2 linked regions of the Saccharomyces cerevisiae S288C genome follow. The protein of the gene in region 1 purifies or fractionates together with the protein of each later gene. This does not show direct contact. Each region holds a gene or a part of one and is shown in the gene's direction. Other genes may lie near its edges.

Evidence for each region.
Region 2: the proteins of PGK1 (region 1) and TDH1 purify together in Saccharomyces cerevisiae (affinity purification with mass spectrometry; 2 studies listed by BioGRID, with this or other methods). This does not show direct contact.

The regions. Positions count from the first base shown.
Region 1 is NC_001135.5:134,895-152,408, forward strand, and holds PGK1 (phosphoglycerate kinase), read left to right. Parts: upstream 1-2,851; coding exon 2,852-4,102; downstream 4,103-17,514. Other genes in the region: putative ATP-dependent permease ADP1, read right to left, coding at 1-1,979; POL4 (DNA-directed DNA polymerase IV), read right to left, coding at 4,291-6,039; CTO1 (Cto1p), read right to left, coding at 6,323-7,276; RNA-binding ribosome assembly factor RBP95, read left to right, coding at 8,740-9,612; CWH43 (Cwh43p), read right to left, coding at 9,879-12,740; SRD1 (Srd1p), read right to left, coding at 13,344-14,009. UniProt on the Saccharomyces cerevisiae protein: Catalyzes one of the two ATP producing reactions in the glycolytic pathway via the reversible conversion of 1,3-diphosphoglycerate to 3-phosphoglycerate.
Region 2 is NC_001142.9:336,271-341,930, forward strand, and holds TDH1 (glyceraldehyde-3-phosphate dehydrogenase (phosphorylating) TDH1), read left to right. Parts: upstream 1-2,000; coding exon 2,001-2,999; downstream 3,000-5,660. Other genes in the region: retromer subunit PEP8, read left to right, coding at 1-767; YJL052C-A (uncharacterized protein), read right to left, coding at 1,614-1,733; IRC8 (Irc8p), read left to right, coding at 3,517-5,660. UniProt on the Saccharomyces cerevisiae protein: Glyceraldehyde-3-phosphate dehydrogenase (GAPDH) involved in glycolysis and gluconeogenesis. Catalyzes the reaction of glyceraldehyde-3-phosphate to 1,3 bis-phosphoglycerate.

The DNA.
Region 1 (17,514 bases):
TCGGAAATGTTTCTGATTCTTCTCCTTTTCCCCTGAGGACCGGCTTCAAAAGTAATATCAATCAAATAATCAGCAATATTATAGTTGTCCGGACAGATATATCCCTCATTTCTCAAAAATTCTGACACTTTTTTGGCATTTCCGGAATAGACCATCTCACCTTTACTTAACAGGACCAATTTATCGAATAAATAAAATATATTTGATCTTGGCTGATGAATAGATAGCACCAATGTCCTGTTATAGTCGCTGGATAACCTTACCAAACATTCAATAACATTATTGGCATTACTAGCATCTAAACCAGATGTAGGTTCATCCAAAAATAAAACCAATGGAGATGTCACTAATTCACATGCAATGGAAACTCGGCGTTTTTCACCTCCACTAATACCACGATCAAATTCATTACCAATAATACGATCTTTGATATCAATAATTCTTAGTTCTTCCAACACCTTATAAACTCTTGCCTTCTTGGCCTCGAATGACAATGCTTTTGGCAATCTTAACAGCGCACTATTTAATACGGTTTCAAAAACAGTCAAAGTGGGCAGCAAAAAGTCATCTTGATCGACGAACCCGATTATTTTCGAGAAAGATTTACGGTCCATACTAATACCGTTAACTTTTATGGAACCCGAAACGTGACCTGTTTTCCGTTTCATTGCTAGGATATCTAATAAAGTAGTTTTACCCGCACCAGATCCACCCATGATAGCTAATATTTGGCCGGGCTTCACGATACCACTTATTTCATTCAGCACAGTTTCTTCAACACCATCTGAATTTATCGAGGGGACACTATAAGTGATATTTTCAAAACTTAATGTCGCCAGTGTGTCATCTTCATTTTGTAAGAAATTATTCACCGCATCTTCATCTGGCAAACGAATGGGAGACTTTGAGGAACCCAATCCATTTCTGAATAACGGAGATTTAGAAATGTAAAAGGTAGCAAATGTAAAAAGTGCCAGGACCATCACAGCAGTCAATGCCAACACCAATTTCCCTTGCCATGACACTGTTGGATCTTTTGAAGGAGATTTGTAACCTGGAATCTCACTATAATGAACACATTCACCGGATTCACACTTCAAAGTAATATAAGGGTCACCAAACACGGTCAATATCAAATCATTCATAGAAGGCTCACTGAATTTACATTGCCTTGTTTCTAAATCACAGCTGAAATCTCCTGGCCCTTTTATTGTCTCTGTCAGGAAATCCGAGATATCTATAGACCCCTTAGCACCACACAACACAGTGTCGGGAACGCATTTGCATTGAACGTCATTACACTTATAATGGGAGGTATTCTGTTCCAAGTCGTATTCAAAGGCACAATCACTTAAGCCACAATAGAAGCTTTCTAACTGATCTATCCAAAACTGAAAATTACATTCTTGATTAGGTTTATCACAGGCAAATGTAATTTGTGGTATTTTGCCGTTCAAAATCTGTAGAATTTTCTCATTGGTCACATTACAACCTGAAAATACTTTATCTACAATCATACCATTCTTATAACATGTCCCCTTAATACTAGGATCAGGCATGAACGCATCACAGACAAAATCTTCTTGACAAACGTCACAATTGATCCCTCCCCATCCGTTATCACAATGACAGGTGTCATTTTGTGCTCTTATGGGACGATCCTTATTACCGCTTTCATCCGGTGATAGACCGCCACAGAGGGGCAGAGAGCAATCATCACCTGCAAACCCTTCTATACACTCACATCTACCAGTGTACGAATTGCATTCAGAAAACTGTTTGCATTCAAAAATAGGTAGCATACAATTAAAACATGGCGGGCATGTATCATTGCCCTTATCTTGTGCAGTTAGACGCGAATTTTTCGAAGAAGTACCTTCAAAGAATGGGGTCTTATCTTGTTTTGCAAGTACCACTGAGCAGGATAATAATAGAAATGATAATATACTATAGTAGAGATAACGTCGATGACTTCCCATACTGTAATTGCTTTTAGTTGTGTATTTTTAGTGTGCAAGTTTCTGTAAATCGATTAATTTTTTTTTCTTTCCTCTTTTTATTAACCTTAATTTTTATTTTAGATTCCTGACTTCAACTCAAGACGCACAGATATTATAACATCTGCATAATAGGCATTTGCAAGAATTACTCGTGAGTAAGGAAAGAGTGAGGAACTATCGCATACCTGCATTTAAAGATGCCGATTTGGGCGCGAATCCTTTATTTTGGCTTCACCCTCATACTATTATCAGGGCCAGAAAAAGGAAGTGTTTCCCTCCTTCTTGAATTGATGTTACCCTCATAAAGCACGTGGCCTCTTATCGAGAAAGAAATTACCGTCGCTCGTGATTTGTTTGCAAAAAGAACAAAACTGAAAAAACCCAGACACGCTCGACTTCCTGTCTTCCTATTGATTGCAGCTTCCAATTTCGTCACACAACAAGGTCCTAGCGACGGCTCACAGGTTTTGTAACAAGCAATCGAAGGTTCTGGAATGGCGGGAAAGGGTTTAGTACCACATGCTATGATGCCCACTGTGATCTCCAGAGCAAAGTTCGTTCGATCGTACTGTTACTCTCTCTCTTTCAAACAGAATTGTCCGAATCGTGTGACAACAACAGCCTGTTCTCACACACTCTTTTCTTCTAACCAAGGGGGTGGTTTAGTTTAGTAGAACCTCGTGAAACTTACATTTACATATATATAAACTTGCATAAATTGGTCAATGCAAGAAATACATATTTGGTCTTTTCTAATTCGTAGTTTTTCAAGTTCTTAGATGCTTTCTTTTTCTCTTTTTTACAGATCATCAAGGAAGTAATTATCTACTTTTTACAACAAATATAAAACAATGTCTTTATCTTCAAAGTTGTCTGTCCAAGATTTGGACTTGAAGGACAAGCGTGTCTTCATCAGAGTTGACTTCAACGTCCCATTGGACGGTAAGAAGATCACTTCTAACCAAAGAATTGTTGCTGCTTTGCCAACCATCAAGTACGTTTTGGAACACCACCCAAGATACGTTGTCTTGGCTTCTCACTTGGGTAGACCAAACGGTGAAAGAAACGAAAAATACTCTTTGGCTCCAGTTGCTAAGGAATTGCAATCATTGTTGGGTAAGGATGTCACCTTCTTGAACGACTGTGTCGGTCCAGAAGTTGAAGCCGCTGTCAAGGCTTCTGCCCCAGGTTCCGTTATTTTGTTGGAAAACTTGCGTTACCACATCGAAGAAGAAGGTTCCAGAAAGGTCGATGGTCAAAAGGTCAAGGCTTCCAAGGAAGATGTTCAAAAGTTCAGACACGAATTGAGCTCTTTGGCTGATGTTTACATCAACGATGCCTTCGGTACCGCTCACAGAGCTCACTCTTCTATGGTCGGTTTCGACTTGCCACAACGTGCTGCCGGTTTCTTGTTGGAAAAGGAATTGAAGTACTTCGGTAAGGCTTTGGAGAACCCAACCAGACCATTCTTGGCCATCTTAGGTGGTGCCAAGGTTGCTGACAAGATTCAATTGATTGACAACTTGTTGGACAAGGTCGACTCTATCATCATTGGTGGTGGTATGGCTTTCACCTTCAAGAAGGTTTTGGAAAACACTGAAATCGGTGACTCCATCTTCGACAAGGCTGGTGCTGAAATCGTTCCAAAGTTGATGGAAAAGGCCAAGGCCAAGGGTGTCGAAGTCGTCTTGCCAGTCGACTTCATCATTGCTGATGCTTTCTCTGCTGATGCCAACACCAAGACTGTCACTGACAAGGAAGGTATTCCAGCTGGCTGGCAAGGGTTGGACAATGGTCCAGAATCTAGAAAGTTGTTTGCTGCTACTGTTGCAAAGGCTAAGACCATTGTCTGGAACGGTCCACCAGGTGTTTTCGAATTCGAAAAGTTCGCTGCTGGTACTAAGGCTTTGTTAGACGAAGTTGTCAAGAGCTCTGCTGCTGGTAACACCGTCATCATTGGTGGTGGTGACACTGCCACTGTCGCTAAGAAGTACGGTGTCACTGACAAGATCTCCCATGTCTCTACTGGTGGTGGTGCTTCTTTGGAATTATTGGAAGGTAAGGAATTGCCAGGTGTTGCTTTCTTATCCGAAAAGAAATAAATTGAATTGAATTGAAATCGATAGATCAATTTTTTTCTTTTCTCTTTCCCCATCCTTTACGCTAAAATAATAGTTTATTTTATTTTTTGAATATTTTTTATTTATATACGTATATATAGACTATTATTTATCTTTTAATGATTATTAAGATTTTTATTAAAAAAAAATTCGCTCCTCTTTTAATGCCTTTATGCAGTTTTTTTTTCCCATTCGATATTTCTATGTTCGGGTTCAGCGTATTTTAAGTTTAATAACTCGAAAATTCTGCGTTCGTTAAAGCTTTCGAGAAGGATATTATTTCGAAATAAACCGTGTTGTGTAAGCTTGAAGCCTTTTTGCGCTGCCAATATTCTTATCCATCTATTGTACTCTTTAGATCCAGTATAGTGTATTCTTCCTGCTCCAAGCTCATCCCACTTGCAACAAAAAAAGTCTAATCTTCTGCAATAATTTCCATCCTTGGCATTCAGAGACATATATTGGTCAATCGGTTTTAATTTTGTTTCTTCTTCTTCTTCTTCTTCAATTAACAATGTGCCTTCATCATTTTTCATTTCTTTCAGTTCTTCTAATTCTCTTGGAGACAATTTGACTCCCATGAAAAATTTCTTGATTATCTCAGAAGAATACCACCTCTTTCTTTCTCCATACCCAACAATCTTCGCTGTACGAAATCTCTCCACTATTCTTTTTAAGAATAGCTTTTCCAAGTTTGGCGTTAGCTGTAAAAAACAATGGATATAGCCATCCTTGTACAACTTAATACAAAGCGTTTCCATGATTTTTGCCAACTCGGTCGTGTCATTACAAAACGGCTTGAAAAATAAAAGATCAATGTCACCACACTTGGAATAGCCCCTATTATAACTTCCCTGTAATTCGACTTGGCATTCAGGATCAATGCCACGCAGCGCTTTTTGAACCTTCTTTAAATGTGTGAAACATTCATTCCGAGACATCTTGCATAACCAATCGTCGTAATATGACCAACCAAATAAAATTGTCCAATCTGATACAAACTCCTCTGGGTCCTTCTTAGCTGCAACACAAAAGCTTTCAAAATTTAGAAGATTCCAGCGTTTAGCAATTTCCGACCCAATGCCGTAACAATTTTTGAAGTATTTCAACTTGTCTTCTAATCCCACTGAATCATTTAAACCTGGTAAAACTCCCGTATCTAATATAACTTGTATTTTTTTGGCAATACTAGGCCCGATATTCCTTAATTTAGTATGTGCTTCTTCACCGGAACGAACATTGAAATCGCAATTTTCCATCGACTGTTTAGCCAGTCTATAACTTCTTGCACGAAATTTCTCACCTTCGATCTCATATTTTTTTGTTAACCTTTTCAACGCTCCGATAATCAATTCATTGTTTTTGTACTTCGTTTTGTCAGTAACAAGGGAAGCTCTTCCTTTATCCCCCTGTAAGAGTCGCTTAAGAGGTTTTGAAGCTTGTATCATATCTTTATTGTTGCTGTCATCATTCCTTTCACTTTCTACGTCAGTTGAAATCTCACTCTCTTTATCAGTAGAACTTTGTCCGTCATCAGCGTTATCTGATATAACGATAATGGATGGTTGAAATTTAATCAAATCATCTTTTTGAAACGCAAATTTATCATTCTGGACCCACTTTGTGATGCAACTGGTTTTCACACATTGAATGCCTGACTGTTCAATCTTACCAAGAAATTCATCGACATCATTTAAGCCTGCTTCCCTTTGGAAAATATCTTTCTGAGTCAAATGCATATCAGAATCAACAAAGGAGTCCTCAATCAAAATGACCACTTCCTTACGGCTAGATTGAAGACAATTTTGAATACTTGACACAATTGTGGCGCCCTTTTTCTCCAATATACTCTTAAAGAACTTATTGGAAGATGTGTTAGGATTAGGTAAAAAGGCGAAAAATTTACCCTTTAGAGACATGTGCGATTTGTCTAACAGGTCGCATGTTTATCCTTTACTTATTATCACTGTGACATATAAGTTCTTTGCAAGCCCTTAAAATTATTAGCCCCATGTATTTGAACATCTCAAAGTAATTTTAGACCGAGACCGATTACGGAGATAGAAGAATAGTGCAAGTGAAATACTATTTTATCTTTACTTAAAAAAGAAAAAACAGGAGGAAAATTAGCGGTATTCCATTATTATTAGCACTGCAACGTCCTGGTTATATAAATTTGAATATACAGGATTTCATCCGTTTCTACATTTTTGTTACCTGCATGATCAAATCTTTTAAAGAGTCCCAGGATTTCACAAGGTAGGCACCTTTACCGCCTTCCTTTTCACAAAACTGTAACCACGCTGGACCATTATCAGCTTCAAAACTCGAGATTTTATCCTTTGGGATACCAATAATCTTTTCGGTAATTTTTATGAATTTGGAAGGATTTTCTTGCGGGTTTATTAGCAGTACACCATTAGTAGATGGATGTAATATGGACAACAAGTCAGTCTCACTATCCCCTATATACCAATAGCTGCAAGAATTTCCTTCTTTATTGCAACCTGAGTCGATCTTATCTAATATTTCACCCAGTATCTTGACCTTATCAGAGCCTGTCAATAACCGACAATCAAATTCACCATTGTAGCTTTGAGAACACTTGTCACTAACTTTTTTTAGATCGTTACAAAAAATATGACTATTTTTAAGTCTTCTGTCACCAATGACTTCATGAATAAACTCTTTTGACCAATTTATAGATAAAACGTAAAAATCACTTTCAAAATTTTTGACAACTGAAGAGCAAAACGTTTTGAAACCATCTCTTAGTAAACAATCTTCGTGATTCTGATCTCTGGCGAACGTTTTCATTTGATCCAAAGAAATCGACTTAAAAATCTGTTGTTTTGTAATTTCATTTACACTATTTAACTCAACAACCCTGTTATGATTTTGATATTTTAATTCGTCCGCAAACAACTTATTGAAGTTAGACTGCGAAATTATCGTAGGTACGCCTGAAGATAACAACGGCAGTGATCTCGTTCCATTGTATTTGTATTTATGGTATCCGTCCATATATGTCTTGGTAAAATGACCCCACTCAGGTTTCAACCGCGGGTTCAGTAGATACGGTAATTTAGCAATGGTGCAGATTGTGTCAACTCTTGTGATTGTTTCATCAAAATCTGAAATAATAATGGTTTTCATATCCTCCACTGTTCGCTTCTGGTTACTGCAATTGTTAAATGCATTGGCTCGATTGTCAACATTGCTTTGTGCGAAGAAAGGTCGCTTTTAAAGAAAACGATAAGAACTAACCTCTAACTACATAATAATAAGAAAAAAGTATACAGATAAACAAGCTCAGTAGTAATACATAAAATAAAAAGTTTTGCAAATCGATTGTCCACACACTTCTATATCAATTCCAACTAAGAAAACGAAGGAACCGACTCAAACCGGTGTAAAAGCTAGGCTTTCAATCTCTGCTCCTCCAAACAAAACTAGTGCTTGATATCACATCCAATTAAATTACGTAAATAATTTTAGAGTGACACCATCGTACAAAGAGGGCATTAAGCTTATTTTTTTAATTCTTATGAAAAAAAAAATGTGAAAGAGAGTAGAAAATTTTCATAACGAATCTCTTCTATTCTTATGTACCGTTCCGCCAAATTTTTCATGAAAAAATTTGGGAAAAAGAAAAAAAAAAAAAATAGTATATAAAGTAAAAAAGATGCGCAAGCCCGGAATCGAACCGGGGGCCCAACGATGGCAACGTTGGATTTTACCACTAAACCACTTGCGCTAGTAATCTTGATACATGATTCGAGAAAAGCAACAATATTATGTATACGGAATATACTAGGAGTTCTCTTCAAGGATAGAGGAATCCTCAAAATGGAATCCATATTTCTACATACTAATATTACGATTATCCCTTCTTCTATTTTATATGTTTCATTATCCTATTACATTATCAATCCTTGCACTTCAGCTTCCTCTAACTTCGATGACAGCTTCTCATAACTTATGTCATCATCTTAACACCGTATATGATAATATATTGATAATATAACTATTAGTTGATAGACGATAGTGGATTTCTATTCCAACAAGAACATCCTTGAAAGGTCGACTATTAACATAAGAATAAGAGAGAGTGTGTGGCCGATGCTGTTGCTATAGCTCGGTCGTAGTTTAACACCACGGCATTATTCAGCTTTAAAACAATTGAATTATAAACCTGCTTTTCTTACTACGAAAAGTGTTTCCCTTTAATAAATCTATTGTACATACTTTACAGTTGATAGTACCTTCACCATAAAAATATGCAAACGCTTTTGTTATTGGGAACAGGAATACCAACCGTTCTCATGGAAAATAGCAAAGTGTAAAAGAATTTATTATCATCGAGTGATAAAGAATATCGCCAGATCTTTACGGATATATATCGCTAAAAATATTTGTCGCCAATAAAAGATATGTCTAACGCTCCCTTTGCAGGTAGTTTTTTACTGGCATCGCCTTTTTACTGCAAATTATTGAAAATTTTCGAGCGAGAAAAAGGAACGAAAAGAGATGAGCTAAATTCAAATATCAAAGTACTGTCATAAGTGCTTTCTTTATCGACAAATTACAAGCAGAAGAAACATTCACTTCACAATTAAATGTCCGAAAATCACGTTCCTGCCTGGAAAAGAATTGCTTTGAAGAGACAGACTATAAGCAGTGGTGACGAAAGTAAAGAAAAAGGCCAATCCAATCTAATAGATGATGATCCACTAAATATCACTACGCATTTATCCACTGGTAATTTGACAAAGAAAGAGAAAAAAAGAATCATTAATGGTGAGAGCAAATCCTCTACCAAAAAAGGGAAGCGTGTGTCGAAACCAGGGACGAAGAAGAAGGAAAAATTGTCAAAGGATGAAAAGAATTCGAAAAAAAATAAAATTCTTAAAGATCAATTACGTTACCTGATAGAATTTTTCAGGACAAAGTCTGAGAGCAAGTTTCCCACCGGAATCCTAGAATTGGAAAGTGTAAAAGAAAATTACGGCGACTCCCTGATCAAAGACGAGCCATCAGAGTCTGGTGTTGTTGAAGTTTGGAAATTTTCCAAGCAAAAGCAAAATTGGCTTATTAAGCATTTTTTCAACTTGGACGAAATCCCCTCAGTATATAATGATCTTTTGCTTTTATATTTCAGGGACTTACAAGGTAAATCAAAAGAAGAACTAATATCAAAATGCAAAGGAAAACTGAAGCAATGGAACGACTATGTGGAAGATCAAGAAACAAAAATAAAAGCGTTAATTGCAGAGGATAAGGCTAGCGAACCAATTAATGGTGAAGAAAAAGAAGAAGGTGAAAAAGACGGTAATGCCGAACAAGGGAAGCAAAAAGAGGTACAAGACGAGCAAGAGGAAGTACAAATGCCGAATAAAGAGCTTGTTCAAAGAAGTCTGAAATTACTAGAAATTTGGAAGAATGATGACTCGGAGCAGATAGAACTTAAGAATTTCTTCGTTGATGTTTAACATAGAGTTCAACAACGTTGTTCAGTTGTAGTATATATTTTACTGTGAAATACGCTCAAAAAGTAGCGGGATAAATCGTTTCAGGAAGTATAATTTCTTACAAAACTATAACAAGATCGTCTAAGTAACATACATAAAGAAATCACATAAATTTTTAAAATTCGAGGTCAAAAAAATCAGGTGGATACATAACTTACCTTAAGTTATCAAGATTTTCAGTACACACAATGTGATTACACTGATTTATAAAACCACCTTACGGCCTCTTATAAGTAATAACGTGGCTCATCAAAAACATGGTAGAAGTGACCCCTCTCACCTTCGCCTAAAAACTTATCTGGAAATTTCATGTCCTCATATTCCGGTTCACTCATATGACCGTATTCATACATAGAATCCGAGTGCTCTACTAACGCTTGCTCACTCAAAACTTGGAACTTACCAACTTGTAGCTCCGTATCGGTTATCGTTCCTCTTGCAACTCTAGCATATCCTGTTCTTCTCAAGCCCCTATACAAGATATACTCACACCATCTATCATCGTCAGAAGGATCAATGTCGTGCATTCCGGATGTTTCACTAACGTACGTATTGTAGTTGCCTTCACCTGGATCAACAACTAAGTAACTTAATAAAATAGCTGGGCGAGTCGTATTGCCCATGAGCTTAGCCATGTAGTTACTTTGCAGTCTTCTATCCTCTTCATCCTCTTCTTGTCCACTATGGAATACAAAGACGTCAACGAGAGTGTCATTGTACGTTTGAAGTGTGGCATGAATGGCTGGCGCAAGTTCCCCAACTGGAGAGGGCAATAAATGATGCGTAGAATTTACGATAGGGAATTTAGAAAGAAGAACACAGCCCCAGGTATGTTTATTTGGACCTGGTCCGAAATCTGCATACATATTCAAATCATGAGCTAGTTTGCTAGTTAGATCCCTGTTCCCCATGGTAATTCTTTGTGTATCTGTTTCTAGTAGACCTACCACATCTAGTTCCATATCTTTAATAAGGTTGATCATTCTGTCTTCAGATGCCCACATATCATTATCGAGACCAAAGTGGATAGTCCAAATACCAGCTGTAATCAACTGAGAATCTGGATGATAAGGCTGAGGAATTCCTGTAGGTCTAATATCATACACGAACCTAGCTGTTAGTGATAGCAGGGCCACGGCAAAGAAGAAAACATAAATGAAGAATTTTTTGCCCATAGTCACCAGTTGAATGTTAAGGTTTTTGCATGTTAAAGCACCAATAATGATAAATGTGGAAGAAAAGGCAAGAACCGTCTCAATCTTCTCCCTCAGTACCCAGCCCATTGGAACAAATGCGTATGCAACGACCCAAACATGGGCAAGGACAAAGATAATATAAACGGAGAATGATAGGACATAAACCCATATGTTTTGAACTTGGCCTAATGCAGAAAAATACGAAGGAACTAACCAAAGCATAGCGATAGCGTACAATAAACCACCGAAAATATATTTAGGCCATTGTGTAATGCTTCTAGCTGAAAGTACAGCAGTGGATATGAGAAGCAACAAACATGGAACTAATGGCTTGCCCATAAACTTCACAGAACTCAAAGAAGCAAATAACATGACCGTACAAGTTAAGGCGCCCCAAGGCCATGGCAAGGGACCGTGTGATTCATTGTAACCTTCCCATGCCCAATAAATAGTAGTAGAAGAATCCGTCAATAACTGATGAATTCCGAATAACAACGAGCCAAAACCAACAGCCAAAAATAATTTGCCAATCAACGAAGCAGATTTTGCTTGAGCATTCCTTTTCCCTTCGAAATTAATTGAATTAACATAAGGCGACAGCATGCCGAATAAAACAGTAAGCACGAGAGCTGTCTTATTATACCCACCATTACGTTCATCTAAAATGACCCAAGTTGGATTGTTGGTATAGAACCCCATTTTCAAGATCACAGATGCAACAAGACCTAACAGCCAAGTTAGAGCAAAAGAGAAACTAGTCTCCGCATTTGTGATATATCTTAGATTTTGTACAAACGTTGCAACGGTAATGGAAGTTCCCACAGCTACAGAAATCAACCTTAATTCTGGCATCTGAACAATATAGGCACCAATGGCAATAATACCTCCTAAAAGTACACCATATTGCGTGAAGGCTTCAGAAACGAACGGCAGATATAAGAAAATGGGTCCCAAATAACCCAATATTGCAGCTTCATAACCTGAGATTCCCATATACCATAGCGGGAAATGCCAAATACTACATAACAGGGACGTAACGTTCGACCAGAAAAGAAAACCGTTAAAAATATTTGTTAGTAAGTAAAAAAAAGAGTCAAACCTGAAATATGAACCAGTTGCGCTTCTAGCAACGGGTTTTTCCTTTTCAACCTTCTTTTCACCACTTTTCTGCAATTCTGAACTTTTTTCTTCTCCATAATTTATGGGACTAGAGTCTCTAATTTGGAAAAAACTGGTATTACCGGGTTTCTCATTAAAAGCGAGAACAATATCTATCTTTTTGAAATCAGCGTAAGCAAATGCATCAAATGCAATATCTAAAAGAATCAGAGACCATTCGAAATAAGCATATATAGAATATGCCCCAGCTCTCTGTTGGACGGAGTGCTGAATGTACCAGTAAATCATCGGGAACAATGTTCCAAAAAAAATTGTAGCAGTCAACCCTTTGTTCTTCGAAGTTAAAGGACTAGAATAGCGGGTAATCATTATATCCCATGGTAACGTTAAAACAATGTATGTGATCATAAATATATCATGAATATCGTGGTCATCTGTACTTGTAATGTATACCCAACCACCGCAAGAGACTGTCCGGAGTACACCGACAAGGAAGCATACCTTAGATTGGTTCAAGTAGTAGTGACCTAGTAGCAGTAAAAATCTTGGAAAAGCAGTTAGAGCTATTAAGATTTGGAAAATAGAACGTTCCGGATAGCGGTCCCCGATAGTGGCTGATACACTAGGAAACCACTCATCTGGATACGTATAATGTGCATTGGTTACAATTTTATGAAAATGTAATGAATAACCAGTGACCAAAGCTGCAAAGAAGGCGGAGAATGCACAAATAGTATGAGCTATAGGGATGATCTTCCCATTGATGATCAGCATAACTGGCGGTGGATACCTTCTGTATTCCTGGTTACTTATTCCTCGAGAAATCGGACATTAAAAGGGTGCAAATACTGTGGAGAAATTATAAGTTACCAAGTCAAAAAGCGAATGAGAATCTATTGTTGCGATTTTTTTGGTTACTACTTCTTACCCGAACTAACTTTACATAATAAAAAAGCATGAAGCGCATATTCAGGGACTCAAAAATCCCAAACTGGCACTTCTGTATATACCGATGAGCATACTTTGATTGTAAAAAACAACATTAAAAAGAACTGCAAACCTGAACCAAGAATACTTAATTTCAAAACCGAGAAATGAGGTACAACTTGTAGAAGTTCACTTAAACTTATTGAGCATACAATCTCAACAAAACTAACTGCAAAGTTTGTTGCTATAGTCATATAGTAATACTAGCAGGAAGCCATTAATCAAAAAGAAACTCCATATAAAACGTAATAAATATTATGAATAATAGTACAATATAAGAACAAAGACGAAGAAAATACATTATAACTGAAGTGCCAATATTAGAAAAAAAAAAGGTGGAATATCCTAGTGGAAAAATATCATCTATGCGGTGAAAGAATTAAATAGATACTATGGATTGTTTCGATCTATCCTTTTATCTGCTGCTTGCCTTTTTTTTTCATTCTCCTTCTTCAGTCTTTTTCCATAGGCGAGTCCACAGGGACTACAAAGTTCCCTGTTTTGGTCGGGTCCACTACGCCATTGAATTGTCCAAGTGTCTTTACATTTAGAGCATTCCTTTATCTCACCATTTGGGAGGATTGTTTGTCTCTTTTCTCTTTTAGGACGACTAGTAGTCTTTTTGCTGTATTTCTTCGTAATACTGGCAGACCGACTAGTTCCTTGTGCACAACTATGGTAGCCTTCAAGATTGTTTGCTTCTTGGCTAGTCGTACGTCTCTCGGAATTGCATGCACTAGTTACACGATTCTTTGAGGGTGTAATTTCGTTCAAAGAGCTGGTTTTGTTCTTAACAATATTTCTTGTAAGATCTCTTAGTTGTTCGGCATTCTCAATTTTTTTTTCAACATCAACAGCCCTTATTTGAGAAAAGGATACTTCAATAAATGAGCAACTTGCATAAACTCTTCCGCGTTCCTTATATGCCTTCTTTTTATCGTTTGACTTCCAGTCATCAATTTCTCTATTTAATAATAACGTTTTCTCCATATCTGACTTTTTAACTACTCTAGTTAAGAAGGAACTTCCAGAGTTGTCATAATTATTATATCGCATACTAGCAATAGTAAATGTCTGGTTATTTACCTAGCAACCTCTTAACAAAGCGATAACAATGAAACAGCAATATAAGTCTATTTAATTGACAACATCATTGATAAAAGTTTGAACAAGCGTCTAAAAGTCGAAGAAGTTCATTTCAAAGTTTTGTGTATCGAGCTTGATGATACTTATTTAGGGATCCGCTCTAGTTTACTGTGATACAACTGAAAAACATTACAAAGCTATCGCGCCTGCATTCTCATATTAGTGGCGTATGTTTGTGTCACATTCGATACTTCTACATAATACAATGACTGAACCCTTACCGCTGGCACAGGAATACCGCGCCGCGAAAGCAGGGTCTAGGAGAAACAATAGAATTCTTGGCGATGAGAGAGGGGAAGGCTTTAATAAAAAAAAATAGCGCTTATCCGATTCTGTTGGAATAAGTGGCTATCAATATTTACATGTTGATATGGTAGTAAGGATATAAATGCTTATATTGAATATTTGGAATAAGCATCAACTATCACTTATTGAAAAGGACTCGAACAAAAAAATATGAAATGTCGAAAGCCACATCACTGAGAAGTTGTTGGATTGAAGCTCTAAAATGTCATCTTTTAGTAGTATTCGTGTTACTAGTATATTATCACATGCGGTGTAAAAAGATGACGTAAAGATTGAGAAACAGTCATCAACTGTTATGGAAGCTGAAATGCAAATATTGATAATGTAATAGGATAATGAAACGTATAAAATGAAAAAGAATAATAAAATATTATTATGTAGAAATACCGATTCCATTTTGAGAATTCCTATATCCTTGAGAAGAACTTCTAGTATATTCTGTATACATAATATTACTGCCTTTATCAACAATGGAATGCCAAAAATTATCAAAATATCACCCAATATTCAATTTTATTGTTGTGAAGACATCAAGCCCTAGATATATATCATAGTAGGATAAAATAGTAGAATAAAACTATTCATATATCTACGTGAAAGCATCAGAGATTGTAATGTTGAGCGCCGTGGCGCAGTGGAAGCGCGCAGGGCTCATAACCCTGATGTCCTCGGATCGAAACCGAGCGGCGCTATTAAATTTTTTGAACTGTCCATTAATAATAATGGAACTGACGTCGTCAATTACCGGTAGCTTTTTTGCCCACATTTTTAATCATCTTTTAAGTATTTGAGTATTTGTTGTTCACTAGAGTTTTACTAATTAAGGTTCTGAGAAAATAAAGATATGCATTTAGAAAAGTCGGTTCTACACCGCAAATTTCTTTATTACAGAAACATTTTATACAAAGAGGATACATAGTTATTGGAAAGAAAATCAATTATCTTTTTGTTGGGTAGTATGAATATTACTTGTACATTATCATATACAATATAAAAAGATGTCATAGAGTTGTGAAATATTTATTATATTTAATAAAAGCTGAAGCGCAATGATTGAAAACGTTTTAGGATGATTAATGATAAAGTACAAAATGAGGAGAAGAAATAATAATAACATAAAGTGGAAATACCGGTTATCTTTTAAGGATATTATAACCTGGAGGAAAACTTCCTGGGTTCTCTGTATATTCAACACTTTTCCGTTATCAAAAATAGAATCCCAACAGTATCCCCATTTTCGTCAATATCTCCATAACGACAAGGTCTTCTAGATACCATATAATGACAATAACCAAGCCCACCATTTAGGTGGATTTTTTGTGTGGTTTTGAAATTAAAACATTTTTAGAGGAAAATTGTGATCACAGAATTTCACATTCCCAGTTACTTTAATAATATTCATAGTTAGAGATGAAGAGGTACTATTAATATGAAGGTTAAGTATGAATCTTCTCATGCTTCTATAAGCGAGGGATATAAAACATCGCCAACTGTTTCATCTTATTTATTATCAATATTATGTGTGTTTGGAGCTTACTATACAGTTAATGTGATAATTAATATAACTCTTGTATAACTACCATATCAATGTTCAATTAATAGATCTTAAATCGGTTTCATTACTACCTGAACTGCATGTATGAAATTTCCTTCCACATTAGGCACATTCACATGTAATACGAGATGTACATCTATATGTGATATTAGCATTTACACAGCAATCCTATATCACTATTAATGGCCACTTGTTCCAAAAAGTATATATTATGAAGCGTATTATTATTTTATACTCAGATAGCTGGTGCGATACGTTCGCAGATTTTGAGCGCAATGCAATGAGTATGACGGAAAGGTTCACTCATAATTTCAATAACTCAAGTTGTTTGAATTTAAAATACATTCCCCGTTAGATAAGCTATAAACATTGTTACTTGCGCTTGCGGCACATGTAATGTAGTTTCTTTCTTTTTCCAAGAAAAAAGAAAGCCCTGTAGGGGGCTCGAACCCCTAACCTTATGATTAAGAGTCATACGCGCTACCGATTGCGCCAACAAGGCTCTTTAATTATGAAAAATTACGTTTAATAAGTGACTTAAAAATATAAATACTGTTACTAAAATGTGAACTAAAACCTCAATATTATTTTCTGATCACTTGATGAATAGCTGGTAATTGTTGGATTCCATTGTTGGTAAAGGCTATAATTTTACGTATATAGAATTGTTGGAATAAAAATCCACTATCGTCTATCAACTATAGTTATATTATCAATATATTATCATATACGGTGTTAAGATGATGACATAAGTTATGAGAAGCTGTCATCGAAGTTAGAGGAAGCTGAAGTGCAAGGATTGATAATGTAATAGGATAATGAAACATATAAAACGGAATGAGGAATAATCGTAATATTAGTATGTAGAAATATAGATTCCATTTTGAGGATTCCTATATCCTCGAGGAGAACTTCTAGTATATTCTGTATACATAATATTACTGCCTTTATCAATAATGGAATCCCAACAACTATCTGAAAATTCACGTGATTCTCATGTGAGTACATCAGAAAACAACCACCTAACAACCGTGTTTGAATGTTGATCTGAAAACAAAAATTAATCTCTCGTACTTATTATGGATATTGTATTTTCTCAAAATTCCAAATGATTTTCTTGTTAGATGGTATTCACGGTCATCGGAATCTCAGTTCAATATCACCAATTTGCTTATAAGGTTTATGCAAGATAACATGTTTGGTCTTGTTCCCAAGTATAACTTAAGAAAAAAAAATTACAATCCAAGAAAGGTAATACAGAATTCATAGCAATAATGGGGTCCATTTTCAATAGATAATGTACCTGGAAGAAAAGGGCTGACTAGGAAACAAAAAGAAAAACAAAACTATGATACTCCATCAAACATAGGGAAATTTACTCGAATATGAAAAGTACAAATCTGTCAAAAGCACATCGTATATTGTCTTGGTTCCGCTTTTATTCAGAAGAATTACTGAAATGAAGAGGAATGACGTAATAAACAAACAACGATTCTGATATCAGAAAGACATCTTGAATATTCCTATGTAGTAATTAACTATCCCAGTACTTAC
Region 2 (5,660 bases), on another chromosome or scaffold:
GTCCTGCTGGTGAATTACAACATTCTCAAAGTTTCCCATTCCTATTCAGAGATTTGAGTAAAAGATACGAATCTTATAAAGGCAAAAATGTGGATGTAGCTTACTATGTTAAGGTAACAGTTATGAGGAAGTCCACAGACATCTCGAAAATAAAAAGATTTTGGGTCTATCTTTATAATAGTGTAACTACTGCGCCAAATACCCTTTCCGCAAATGAGACAAAGGCAACCACTAATGACATCGCTGGTGGTAACTATGCTGCAGATAATGCGAGTGACAACACGCAAACAAAGAGCACCCAGGGTGAGGCGGCAGACGTTAATCAAGTTTTGCCGATATCACATTCAAATAATGAGCCCAAGCCTGTTAGATTGGATATAGGTATAGAAAATTGCCTTCACATTGAGTTTGAATATGCCAAATCCCAGTACAGCTTAAAAGAAGTCATTGTGGGGCGTATATATTTCCTTTTAACGAGACTAAGGATAAAACATATGGAATTAAGCTTGATCACAAGAGAATCTTCCGGCCTACAAACTTCTAATGTAATGACAGATTCCACTGCTATCCGATACGAAATAATGGATGGGTCTTCAGTGAAAGGTGAAACCATACCCATAAGATTATTCTTGAGCGGCTATGACCTGACGCCCAATATGAGCTGCAACTACTTTAACGTCAAGAATTATTTGAGCTTGGTTATTATCGATGAAGATGGCAGAAGATATTTTAAACAATCAGAAATAACATTGTACAGGACCCGGTAGAAAAGCTCGACCTTAAATAAGGTGAAGATGTGGTTCTCTGTTCTTTCAACATCTCGATATTTAACTTTTCGTTTGGCATTATAGTGTTATACATAACAATATCTAGATTTCAGTAGAAGACTTTTGCGTAAGTTATAACGAACTAAACAAGCAAGAGGTAAAATACGATATAGTAAGAAGCTCAAGTGCTAAAACTTTTTTTCTCTACGAAAGGAGGAATAGCATATGGTTTTCTTCCCTTTTACAGTGCTTCGGAAAAGCACAGCGTTGTCCAAGGGAACAATTTTTCTTCAAGTTAATGCATAAGAAATATCTTTTTTTATGTTTAGCTAAGTAAAAGCAGCTTGGAGTAAAAAAAAAAATGAGTAAATTTCTCGATGGATTAGTTTCTCACAGGTAACATAACAAAAACCAAGAAAAGCCCGCTTCTGAAAACTACAGTTGACTTGTATGCTAAAGGGCCAGACTAATGGGAGGAGAAAAAGAAACGAATGTATATGCTCATTTACACTCTATATCACCATATGGAGGATAAGTTGGGCTGAGCTTCTGATCCAATTTATTCTATCCATTAGTTGCTGATATGTCCCACCAGCCAACACTTGATAGTATCTACTCGCCATTCACTTCCAGCAGCGCCAGTAGGGTTGTTGAGCTTAGTAAAAATGTGCGCACCACAAGCCTACATGACTCCACGTCACATGAAACCACACCGTGGGGCCTTGTTGCGCTAGGAATAGGATATGCGACGAAGACGCTTCTGCTTAGTAACCACACCACATTTTCAGGGGGTCGATCTGCTTGCTTCCTTTACTGTCACGAGCGGCCCATAATCGCGCTTTTTTTTTAAAAGGCGCGAGACAGCAAACAGGAAGCTCGGGTTTCAACCTTCGGAGTGGTCGCAGATCTGGAGACTGGATCTTTACAATACAGTAAGGCAAGCCACCATCTGCTTCTTAGGTGCATGCGACGGTATCCACGTGCAGAACAACATAGTCTGAAGAAGGGGGGGAGGAGCATGTTCATTCTCTGTAGCAGTAAGAGCTTGGTGATAATGACCAAAACTGGAGTCTCGAAATCATATAAATAGACAATATATTTTCACACAATGAGATTTGTAGTACAGTTCTATTCTCTCTCTTGCATAAATAAGAAATTCATCAAGAACTTGGTTTGATATTTCACCAACACACACAAAAAACAGTACTTCACTAAATTTACACACAAAACAAAATGATCAGAATTGCTATTAACGGTTTCGGTAGAATCGGTAGATTGGTCTTGAGATTGGCTTTGCAAAGAAAAGACATTGAGGTTGTTGCTGTCAACGATCCATTTATCTCTAACGATTATGCTGCTTACATGGTCAAGTACGATTCTACTCATGGTAGATACAAGGGTACTGTTTCCCATGACGACAAGCACATCATCATTGATGGTGTCAAGATCGCTACCTACCAAGAAAGAGACCCAGCTAACTTGCCATGGGGTTCTCTAAAGATCGATGTCGCTGTTGACTCCACTGGTGTTTTCAAGGAATTGGACACCGCTCAAAAGCACATTGACGCTGGTGCCAAGAAGGTTGTCATCACTGCTCCATCTTCTTCTGCTCCAATGTTTGTTGTTGGTGTTAACCACACTAAATACACTCCAGACAAGAAGATTGTCTCCAACGCTTCTTGTACCACCAACTGTTTGGCTCCATTGGCCAAGGTTATCAACGATGCTTTCGGTATTGAAGAAGGTTTGATGACCACTGTTCACTCCATGACCGCCACTCAAAAGACTGTTGATGGTCCATCCCACAAGGACTGGAGAGGTGGTAGAACCGCTTCCGGTAACATTATCCCATCCTCTACCGGTGCTGCTAAGGCTGTCGGTAAGGTCTTGCCAGAATTGCAAGGTAAGTTGACCGGTATGGCTTTCAGAGTCCCAACCGTCGATGTTTCCGTTGTTGACTTGACTGTCAAGTTGGAAAAGGAAGCTACTTACGACCAAATCAAGAAGGCTGTTAAGGCTGCCGCTGAAGGTCCAATGAAGGGTGTTTTGGGTTACACCGAAGATGCCGTTGTCTCCTCTGATTTCTTGGGTGACACTCACGCTTCCATCTTCGATGCCTCCGCTGGTATCCAATTGTCTCCAAAGTTCGTCAAGTTGATTTCCTGGTACGATAACGAATACGGTTACTCCGCCAGAGTTGTTGACTTGATCGAATATGTTGCCAAGGCTTAAATAAAGCAATCTTGATGAGGATAATGATTTTTTTTTGAATATACATAAATACTACCGTTTTTCTGCTAGATTTTGTGAAGACGTAAATAAGTACATATTACTTTTTAAGCCAAGACAAGATTAAGCATTAACTTTACCCTTTTCTCTTCTAAGTTTCAATACTAGTTATCACTGTTTAAAAGTTATGGCGAGAACGTCGGCGGTTAAAATATATTACCCTGAACGTGGTGAATTGAAGTTCTAGGATGGTTTAAAGATTTTTCCTTTTTGGGAAATAAGTAAACAATATATTGCTGCCTTTGCAAAACGCACATACCCACAATATGTGACTATTGGCAAAGAACGCATTATCCTTTGAAGAGGTGGATACTGATACTAAGAGAGTCTCTATTCCGGCTCCACTTTTAGTCCAGAGATTACTTGTCTTCTTACGTATCAGAACAAGAAAGCATTTCCAAAGTAATTGCATTTGCCCTTGAGCAGTATATATATACTAAGAAAGGAATCATACTCTCTTATGTGCCATAATTCTGTTAGGAGCGGAAATAAGGCTGGTTTTTTGGGGATCAAGTTCGGAAGTGCTCTTCTCTCAATTGCCACAGGTGCCATTGCTATCGCATTGCTATGCAAGTTCCACGACCACGAAGCGGTACTGATAGTTATTGTATGCTCGACATTGTTATATGGAATACCGTCACTGATATCGTTTATCACAGAGACTGTTTTTGCGCCTAGCAAGTTTCATATTGGATACTTTTACAACGTTCTTAATTTTGCATTGCCACTGATCACCATGGGCTGCACAGTGGACTATTTTCATAATACCTTGAGGAGCCCAATATCGGTACAAAGCGAGTCTCACAGAGTCTATATAACAACTCTGGATTCTTTGTTAATTTTCACACTTTTCATTAATGGCATACAATTAGGATTCTTCCTGAAGGATGGCAATGCGAACAATTTCGGCAGCTCATCTAACAATATTAGTACGGATCAATATGACAAAGAAGCAAATGCGGTGGAAAATGGTAGATTTGTACCCCTTAAGAACTCTTCACAGACCTTAACACCAGATTTGGAATTATTACACGGTAGTCCCAAGAGTATGAATGGGGTAGCGTGGCTGATTAATGAACTCTCCACAAATTCAAACACAAACGCAAACAAAACCATATCATCCGATGAAAATTCAAACTCTTCAGTTATTCGACACAAATTAGGACCGATTAGCACCAGCAAGTGTCCTAAAAAGCCATCTCATTCGCATTTTTCTAAATTGAAAAAATATAACAGTTTCTTTTTGGGTCCTAAAGAAAATCGATACAAAAGAAATACACAACAAGCTACTAAGGTTCCGACAGAAAAGAAAAGCAACCACCGAAGTAGCCAGTATGTATCCAGACTATCAACCATATCTGACATCTCGAAAAGTTTCCTGAATTTCTTAGCATTAAACGAAAAAAACGGGAATTCGACTTCCACTGCGAGAACACCAAGTGAAGGAAGAGTTTCAATAATAATTAACGAAGGAAATAATACTTTGAAATACAAAACTCCCCATGATTCGCATACTATTGATTCTCCAAACTTGGAGTTAGAAAGAGAAGCTATTGGGAGAATTAATAGTGCCTTACTTCCTGCATGTTTGAGAGTAACAGATAAAATGATATCCCCACAGCAAAGCACTCAAAATGAGGACTCATACCAAGCAACACCATTGATACCCCAGGTGGAAGTTGACGATGATTTCTATGTAGGTGATATCTTAATGACTAATGAACTACAAGACATTCCACAAGTCCCAAGGATATCATCTGATATAGAAGACGATTTCGAACAACAATATACCAAACACGTGGATTTGCCAGCCCGTGTCACTTTAGAGATGTGGGAAAAGGATCAGGAGAAAATACTTCAAAAAGTAACCACAAACCGGGATAAAAGCAAATTACTACCCCCTTTCAGATTCACCTCTGAAAGTGATATGGATCCAAGTACATCCACCGAATTGGAAGTTGAACTGCATGCCCAAAACAACTTCAGCTTTCCCTTTAAAAGTGCAGGATTACAAATTGCTACATCAGACCAATTTAACCAACAGGAGTTTAAAACTTCAGATACTATTAGCGAACTAGATGAGTATTTACATGATCCCAGCATTCAAGAAGAGGATGCAAGTCAGCTGATTGAAAGCAGTTTGAACCAAAACAACCTATCCTCAACTACTATTGACAATGGCCCAAAGGATATGAGTAGATTTAGTACAAGGCATTCACCAACCAAATCGATAATTTCCATGATCAGTGGATCAGGAAGTGTCAAGCACCAACATTCACACAGCACCCTAAGCAACTTTTTTACGGGTCATTCAAGAAACAATTCTCAAATAAATCAGCTATTACAGGGTTCTTCTTCTAATATGATGTCCAACACCTCACCGCATTCATCTCCAACCAAGTCGTTGAGAATGAGATTTGGAAAGAAATTGTCATTATCAAATATCTCTGATACAATGTCGCCATATGAGGGTAGTACAACAGATCCGATAAACTACTCGTTTGGCCATGGTCACAATAAAAACCAGAGTATTGATTTTAGCTACGTACGTACTTTGCAAAGCAGTCATTCACCTACAAAATCAACCTCGGGAAATTCTCGTCG